Linked DNA regions of Neurospora crassa OR74A. Each later gene encodes a partner of the first gene's protein in a complex. Links are inferred from orthologs where the notes say so. Each region holds a gene or a part of one and is shown in the gene's direction. Other genes may lie near its edges. The genes, in order: NCU00927 and Bml.

The links.
Region 2: the proteins of NCU00927 (region 1) and Bml are in contact, whole or in part, in a cryo-EM structure (PDB 6S8M), measured with the Schizosaccharomyces pombe proteins. The link is inferred for Neurospora crassa OR74A from reciprocal best matches to the Schizosaccharomyces pombe genes cut7 and nda3. Residues at the interface, in NP_594527.1 of Schizosaccharomyces pombe: Glu217, Arg233, Val234, Phe235, Glu236, Arg345, Gln352, Arg359, Ala368, His369, His370, Pro372, Arg374, Glu375, Ser376, Arg380; in NP_596650.1 of Schizosaccharomyces pombe: Pro160, Asp161, His190, Gln191, Glu194, Asn195, Phe260, Pro261, Arg262, Met406, Glu410, Ser413, Asp417, Ser420, Glu421, Gln424.

Annotation. Positions count from the first base shown.
Region 1 is NC_026501.1:6,696,650-6,700,991, forward strand, and holds the start of NCU00927 (kinesin), read left to right. Parts: upstream 1-1,339; 5' UTR 1,340-1,816; coding exon 1,817-2,299; intron 2,300-2,349; coding exon 2,350-4,342. Other genes in the region: NCU00928 (UPF0183 domain-containing protein), read right to left, coding at 1-545. UniProt on the Schizosaccharomyces pombe protein: Could be a spindle pole body motor. On transition from G2 to M phase of the cell cycle, the spindle pole body duplicates; the daughter pole bodies seed microtubules which interdigitate to form a short spindle that elongates to span the nucleus at metaphase.
Region 2 is NC_026506.1:2,581,526-2,585,920, forward strand, and holds Bml (tubulin beta chain), read left to right. Parts: upstream 1-1,339; 5' UTR 1,340-1,540; coding exon 1,541-1,552; intron 1,553-1,793; coding exon 1,794-1,817; intron 1,818-1,891; coding exon 1,892-1,917; intron 1,918-1,985; coding exon 1,986-2,027; intron 2,028-2,092; coding exon 2,093-2,147; intron 2,148-2,220; coding exon 2,221-3,011; intron 3,012-3,068; coding exon 3,069-3,462; 3' UTR 3,463-3,990; downstream 3,991-4,395. UniProt on the Schizosaccharomyces pombe protein: Tubulin is the major constituent of microtubules, a cylinder consisting of laterally associated linear protofilaments composed of alpha- and beta-tubulin heterodimers.

The DNA of each region.
Region 1 (4,342 bases):
TTGGCCGAGTAGCTCGCTTTCTTCATGAGGAAACTAAAGGCCACACCGGGCCATGACAGAACGTAGAGCCCATATTGATCGACGGCATTGTCTGGCGTCTTCGGTCCATCAATGAACTCGCCATCATAGGTGGGACCAAGAAAGCGCTGGTAGATGTGACGGAACGTAGGGCCCGCGGGGTTATCGGTTGACGGGGTAGATGCTGCGGAAGGGCGAACAAGGTCACGCTCTTTGTTATCGGCGGCCTTGATAAAGATATGATTTTTGGTAAAGTCCACCACCTCGATTAAGCGTAACCGCTGCTCTGGAGCGTCGAATTGTAGACGAATGCCGTTTGCGGGGAGATCGATAACGACAATGGATTTCGTCGGCTCGGTTGGGCTGTACTTGACATCGAGATTCGTGAACCGCTGGGGCTCTGTCTTGAGGCGAGTCAAGATATCGTGCAACGACGCTCCAAGGACCAACCAGCCGAGCGCTCGGCCAGGATAAAGCTGGGCGGAGAAGAGAAGGGGAGAAATCGGCGGCGAGGTAGGTGTCGACATATTGAAACTTGTATGTGCTGATGAAGATGTTTGAGGTTGTACACCGCTTAAGGTGGTATATGGGAACGACGGAGATGGGACGAACTCGTACGTCGAGTCTCGTTCATCCAGTGGGCTTAGTGGCAGGACGGACGGTTGAGAACGGCGGAGAGCGATATCATCTATTCGTATTGTAACTTGGTGTGTGGCTATACTGACTTTGTGTCAGAGAGCGAAGAAAGCAAAGATGAGAGGGTGAAAGTTGTTCGTTGGTCGTCTGATGGGTAATTGTATCATCGGTTGGCGAAGCGGCGCTTGCTGGGTGTTGTCCGTCAAGGTCCCCTCGTGATCTGGGGGAGGGCGACCCCGACCATCGGCAGCTGCTCCAGATTACGTAGGTAGAAGTACCAACGTACCTACCTCGAATCACATGAAGGCGAACGGCAGGCGGCGGTGAAAGCGGCAGGCAAGGCCTGGGGCGGATGGGGGGCCAGCACTAGGTAGGTACCTTATGTACGATAAAACATCAGTGCTGGACTCTGGAGACGAGAGCGGCGTGATGAGACGGAATGGGGGGGACACAAAGAGGGGCATTGAGGGGAGGTTGTGCTGGCCGCTGTCCGCTGTCCGCTGTTTGCTGACCGGTCAGCGTGACGCTCACAGCGATGATTCCGGGCTGTCGAAGATCAGTGGTCTGTGCGTTTAGTTTACTTGCACCGGGAAGCGGTTGCCCCAGCAATAGCCCGAATACGCTTACAGCATTGCGGACAGTGGAGACTGATGTTGATGCCTCCTGTCGCGCCAAAGCAGCACAAGGCAAGTAAGTACCCAACTTGAACAGCAAGCAGCGAACGCTAACATTGGAAAAAGTGATCCCCGCCATCCAACAAGACCACGGCACCTACCCAGGCGAGTCGCTCGCATAATCGACAAGAAAAGGCCGGGTCGCGACGTCCAGTCGCTCATTCCCGACGGCGTGTGGAATCTAACACGCCAATCTCTTCACGACGACGCTGCCGTCTTTCGCAGGTTTCCAGCTCGTCGCACATAAGAAAAAGGCATCGACCGGCCGACTGAACGACCCACGATCTCGCTCCCTCTCCCTCTCTGCCATCAGCTCTTCGATCACCATCACCAATGCTTTTTGGATTGATTCTGGCCCATTGTGTACCTTAGCCCAACAGTCGTCACTTCGCATCTTTTCGTTTCTCGTCCCTCCTTTGGCCCAACTTCTCCCCGATTTCGCAACCTCGACCCTTCGATAAAGTATCGTCCAATCGCGCAGCTCCAGCATGGAGCGTAAAAAACCATCATCCATGTCGCGTCCACCATCCGTCGCCGGGACGCGTAGCAACAGCAGCATGCGACCTCCCCCAACCAGAAACACGGCATCTTCAACAGGCCGACAATCAGCCCTCCGAAATGCCTCCGCACCGGGAGGATCTCGCGCCGAGCGATCGGGCGCCGCCTCCCCCGCAGACTCACAGGTATCGGCAACAGCAGGTGCGAAGCGTAAGGAGCGCGATTTCGACCCGGAGGACGAGGGCACCACAAACATCAATGTTGTTGTGCGCTGTCGAGGACGCAATGACCGGGAAGTCAAGGAAAATAGCGCCGTTGTTGTCAAGACGGAGGGCCTCAAAGGCAGGATAGTTGAGCTATCAATGGGTCCCAATGCAGTGAGCAACAAGACGTATACCTTTGATCGCGTCTTCTCGCAGGCCGCCGACCAAGCCATGGTCTTTGACGAGGTGGTGAAGCCGATCCTGGAAGAGGTAAGGACTATCAAACCGATCAGGGCCTGTTCATGGCTGACTTGAACCAGATGCTTGCCGGTTACAACTGCACCATATTTGCTTACGGCCAAACAGGCACAGGCAAGACATATACCATGTCAGGCGACATGAATCAGACTTTTGGCATGCTTCCCGACACCGCAGGCATCATCCCCAGAGTCCTGCATGCTCTCTTTAATAAGCTTGAAGTGGATGACAAGGAACACTGCGTGCGATGCTCGTTTATCGAACTTTATAATGAAGAGCTGCGTGATCTGCTTTCGGCAGAGGACAACACAAAGCTCAAAATATTTGACGACAACTCGAAAAAGGGCCATGCCACGACTATTGTGCAAGGTATGGAGGAAAGACACATTTTGAGCGCGGCAGACGGCCTCAGATGGCTTCAAGAGGGCAGTGTGAGGCGTCAGGTGGCCGCGACAAAGTGCAACGACCTCAGCAGTCGTAGTCACACCGTCTTCACCATTACCGTTCATGTCAAGCAACAAACCGAGAATGGGGAGGATTATCTAATGGGAGGAAAGCTGAATTTGGTTGATCTCGCTGGCAGTGAGAACATTCAGCGCTCTGGAGCCGAGAACAAACGTGCTGCTGAGGCTGGCCTCATCAACAAGAGTCTGCTTACCCTTGGTCGCGTCATCAACGCCTTGGTCGACCGCAGCCCCCATATTCCTTACAGAGAATCGAAACTTACACGTCTACTCCAAGACTCTTTAGGTGGGCGGACAAAGACGTGCATCATTGCGACAATATCCCCGGCCAGGAGTAACATGGAGGAGACGATATCCACCCTTGATTATGCTTTTAGGGCTAAAAACATTCGAAACAAACCGCAGATCAACGCGCTACTCAACAAAAAAACATTACTTCGCGAGTTTGCGACCGAGATCGAGAAACTGAAAAGCGAGCTGATTGCCACTCGTCAGCGAAACGGTGTCTATCTATCGAACGATGCTTACGAAGAGCTGACTGTACAAAACGAATCGCGGCGGATCCTTACGGAAGAACAAGCGGCCAGAATCGAGACCCTCGAAACAAACCTTCGAAACAAGCTCCAAGAGCTGTATACGATGACATCAACATTCATGGGGCTTCGAAAAGAGCACGAAGCCACAAAAGCACAGCTAGACGAGACCAAAGATGTGTTGGACCAAACCGAGCTGGTGCTGGCAGCTACCAGGAAGTCGTTGGCGGAGGAGGCGCACCTCCGAAGGGCGCATCAAACAACCGAGCAGAAGCTTGCCAAAGTGGGTGATGAGCTTATCTCTACCGTCAAGCGGACCGTCCAAGATGTCGAAGGGCTCCACGCGAAGAACAGAAGAAGATCCGACCTACATGCGCTCAATCGTAGCACGTGGGCCATGTCGCAATCGCAAGTCACAGGTATTACTGAGCTTGTTGAAAGTCGGATTGCGGAGTTCCGCAAGGGGCAGGAGGAGCATATCTCCAGCGTATCAGAGCGAATGCAAAGTTTTGTTCAGGAGGAGCTCGACAAGCTGTCCACAACCCAAGCCTTCCTCGATCAAAACTTGGAGCATTTCGCAGAGTCTAGGACACAGCTGTTGGAGCAGAAGCAAAAGTCCAAGGAGGAGATGGACAACGTGCTGGAAGAGATCAAGGTTGTTCGGGACACCGTGAAACAGCGCGTTGGAGAATCGCTCCAGGCTATTGCCTCGGCGGCTGAGCGGATTGCAGGTGATGTCCTGGGCGAACTAACTACTTTCCACAGTCAGTTACATGCTTCGTATAGTTCGCTTGGGAAGGAATGTAAATCCATCTTCGGGGATCTGCTGCAAACAATTAGCGCCCAGAAAGCCGAAGCTGAAAGACTTCGGCAAGAGCTCGAGGGTGCTAGTCAGACCATTGTTGAATCCAACGCAACTGTGTCAGCCCGGATTCAGGAGGTTTTGGAGGAGGAGCGAAGACAAGCGGCCGAGGAAAGGCAAAACCTTTTGCTACAGATCGGCTCCCTCATCAATTCGCAAGCGGAGATGCAAGAGTCTCGCCTCGCCGGGAAGACAG
Region 2 (4,395 bases), on another chromosome or scaffold:
TATACCATTTGCATTGCTTCTGGGTTAGGTTGTGAAATGGGGAATGGAGGGAGGGAAAACAAATAAAAACGAACACACGGGGGTGGAGCAAGCGGAAGCATACCCTACGCACAGCATGGCAAAAAAAAGCCATCAACAGCAATGATCAAGTCATGAAATAGCCTCATGAACGGGTTGATCATTCTTCTAGTTAAATTAATATGTCAATGTCTATCTACAACTTTCATATTCTGATTCCGTATATGTTGGGGAGCATTCCGTGCTTGTCCAGCTCCATCCTTCTTTTGTCTCTGTCCCCTCAACTTTGTTTACATGTACACCTGACTGACAAGAAGATGGGGAAATGAAGGTCATCATCCCTGCCATCATAGGCGACAGCGAAATGTTGCATGGCTGCTGCAATGCAGTGGACCTACATATTTCTAGTGTACTGCTCAATGTAAGGTACAAGTAACGAGCGATCCTTTCGTTATTTGGGTGAATGAGATCTCCTTTTTCCCAATCCCAACTTCCGGTGTTTTGTTCGATAAATGATATGCGACCAGGTTCAGGAGAGCGGGCTCATCCTTCCCTTCTGCGGGCAGTTGGCAATCAAGGTACACTACTACCCCAAATTGCCAATCAGCAGGCCCATACAGTACCCCGTACACTACCGTAAGCTACGAAGCTTGAAGCGTGCCGAGATGGAGGGGTAGCTTGCTTCCCTTGTTCCTTTGTAAGTGGAAGTCATGGATGGCATCAACTATACTAGTGTATAATGCCGCGTCGAATTGAGGAGTTTCCATCTATGTGTCTGTTTTTCCCTGATCTCCAGCTAGGTAATTTGCAGGTCGGGCTCAACAATGGATGTGAATGTAGCCCCCTACGAGTCGCGATGCTGTTCCTGATCTCCCAAGTCTGGCCGGGCCAGTGACCGAGTCGTGCCCAAAACCAACAGCCAAATCCAATTGGAGGTTGCGACAGTTCGACAGCGGTCTCGAGCTGGCGACTTACCCCACATTGGCAGGAGCATGTGGGACCCGCCGCCCGGCTGGTTTTGCCTGCCAACTCTGCCAGCCAACCAGAAGCAGACTAGCGCGTCGCGCTGGCCCCGAGAGACAGCTGGGGGAGGTTTGTCTTTGGCGGTTTTTGGAGGTCAACGCGTGAGGAACCGAGCCAGAGTGCAGGGACCACCCAAACCGAGTCGACAGGGGGCCTTCCACCCTTCCAAAAGTTTGACAGTGCCTGATGTCCCCACTTTGGCAAGCGCCCCGGCAACCCAGCAGCAGCCCGGCGAGCGGCGGCGGCGGTGAACGAGAAGCTGGTGCTGGCCGGCTGTGGCCCGCTCATTTCTTGCACCAAAAATCAACAAATCTCCCTTTCCACTCCCAAGACTTCCCAGTCTCCCCTAGGCCAGACATCAAACCTCTCCACTTTCACCGACCTCCGTCGTCTTCGTCTATCCGCGTCGGCTTTATCACCACTTCCATCTTTTTGCTCTTCCATCTTTCTGCCTTCAACCTCCACATAGACCCGTGTTCGTCATCACCAAACCGTCAAGATGCGTGAAATTGTAAGTCTCCCTCTGATGCCTACTGTGCCGCGCACGCAGAGCAATCCCTCTTTTTTTTCTCTTTCCCTCCCAAGAGACCCCTGATTGCTCTACCCCACCAAACTGCCTCGTCCCCTTCTGTGCCTCTACCTACTGCTGCCCGACTCATTATGATCCTGCTCGCTTTCTCGCCATCGCGGACTGCCATCTATCGCGAGTATTATGGACATCGACGCTGACACGATTTCTTCACGTGCTATAGGTTCATCTCCAAACCGGCCAATGCGTAAGTCGATGATGGCTTCCACCCCCGTCGCGATCCAACAACAACAGCAGGACTAACACAACAGCCACGATCAGGGTAACCAAATCGGTGCTGCTTTCTGGTACGTCGTCATCATCGCGAACAACCACACCTTTGAGCGAGGGAGCCCGACGCTGACAGAATAAACAGGCAGACTATCTCCGGCGAGCACGGCCTCGATGCCTCCGGTGTGTACGTAACCTCGTGCCCAATAACCATATCTGGTGATGGCCTCGAAAGCTCACCGCCCACTACAGGTACAATGGCACCTCTGAGCTCCAGCTCGAGCGCATGAACGTCTACTTCAACGAGGTGAGCAACAACCGGTCTCGACGATCTCCCCCTCCTCGAGAATTCGCTCGCTAACTAGCTTCGCGCTTGACAGGCTTCCGGCAACAAGTATGTCCCTCGTGCCGTCCTCGTCGATCTCGAGCCCGGTACCATGGACGCCGTTCGCGCCGGTCCCTTCGGCCAGCTCTTCCGCCCCGATAACTTCGTCTTCGGCCAGTCCGGTGCTGGCAACAACTGGGCCAAGGGTCACTACACTGAGGGTGCTGAGCTTGTTGACCAGGTTCTCGATGTCGTCCGTCGCGAGGCTGAGGGCTGCGACTGCCTCCAGGGCTTCCAGATCACCCACTCCCTCGGTGGTGGTACCGGTGCCGGTATGGGTACCCTCCTTATCTCCAAGATTCGTGAGGAGTTCCCCGACCGCATGATGGCTACCTTCTCCGTCGTGCCCTCCCCCAAGGTCTCCGATACCGTTGTCGAGCCCTACAACGCCACCCTCTCCGTCCATCAGCTCGTTGAGAACTCCGACGAGACCTTCTGCATTGACAACGAGGCGCTTTACGACATTTGCATGAGGACCCTCAAGCTCTCCAACCCCTCTTACGGCGATCTTAACCACCTCGTCTCCGCCGTCATGTCCGGTGTCACCGTCTCCCTCCGTTTCCCCGGCCAGCTGAACTCCGATCTCCGCAAGCTCGCCGTCAACATGGTTCCCTTCCCCCGTCTCCACTTCTTCATGGTCGGCTTCGCTCCCCTTACCAGCCGCGGCGCCCACCACTTCCGTGCCGTCTCCGTGCCCGAGTTGACCCAGCAGATGTTCGACCCCAAGAACATGATGGCTGCTTCTGACTTCCGCAACGGTCGTTACCTCACCTGCTCTGCCATCTTGTAAGTTGCTGATCATGGAATGCTGCTTTTGACCACTAATACTGACGAATCAAACAGCCGTGGCAAGGTCTCCATGAAGGAGGTTGAGGACCAGATGCGCAACGTTCAGAACAAGAACTCTTCCTACTTCGTCGAGTGGATCCCCAACAACGTCCAGACTGCCCTCTGCTCTATCCCTCCCCGCGGTCTCAAGATGTCCTCCACCTTCGTCGGTAACTCCACCGCCATCCAGGAGCTCTTCAAGCGTATCGGCGAGCAGTTCACTGCCATGTTCAGGCGCAAGGCTTTCTTGCATTGGTACACTGGTGAGGGTATGGACGAGATGGAGTTCACTGAGGCTGAGTCCAACATGAACGATCTCGTCTCCGAGTACCAGCAGTACCAGGATGCTGGTGTTGACGAGGAGGAGGAGGAGTACGAGGAGGAGGCCCCCCTTGAGGGCGAGGAGTAAATCATTCCACTCAACATTCAGGCTCCTCTGCGCACGTAAAGTGCCAAAGGCAATACCCTGCTCGGTGGAATGCCGCCGGGCTTGTCGATTTTACGCACATATGCGCATTCTTGACTTGAAGCGGAGGAGTTCTTCGTTGCGGGTTACAGTGTTTTAATAAAAGAATGGTCAAATCAAACTGCTAGATATACCTGTCAGACACTCTAGTTGTTGACCCCTATACTCTTAATACATCAGACAGTACATGCATGTTGCATGATGATGATAATGTCTGTTTAGATTCCAAGTGTCTACTGCTGGCCAAGCTTTCTCTCTACGCACTCTGTAACTATGGGAGCGTGAGATGTATCAAGAGTCCTTAGTTTTGGGGGACTATGTCTGTGTTGTGCGGTATACTTGTAACTAGCTTGCGGAAGATGCGACAGATCTACGTAGATCAGGGATTATCATAATTATCCCTGACATAATAGCTGTTACGCGGCAGCGGCGAAAAGGCAGTCGGTGACTTTTAGATACTCAAATGTTCGCCCACTTTTTCATGTGCGTTGAGTCATGTAATGTAACCAAGGAAGGGCGAGAACCAGACATGGTCAACAGAGTCAGTGATAAGATTCCCAGCTTCTCGCAGTGAGTATTTTGCAAGACCGAAAGCCACAACAGAACACCAAGTCCAAGTGAACTGTCTTACAAGCCCATTATGGAAAGTCTCCATTTACCCAACTGCCTAGGTAGTACTGAGCACTTGACTTCAGATAGGATGTGGAAAGCGCAGTTAGGTGTGAAAGTTCAACTGACTGCTGTGATAGGTAGAATGGTCGGGCAATTGAGGGATTCTATAGTGTTTGGTGGGTATACGCAGTCAAAACTCATGTCAAGGAGAATAATCAGTATCCAAGAACAGAATAATGGATGGATCAGACAACGAAGATAGGA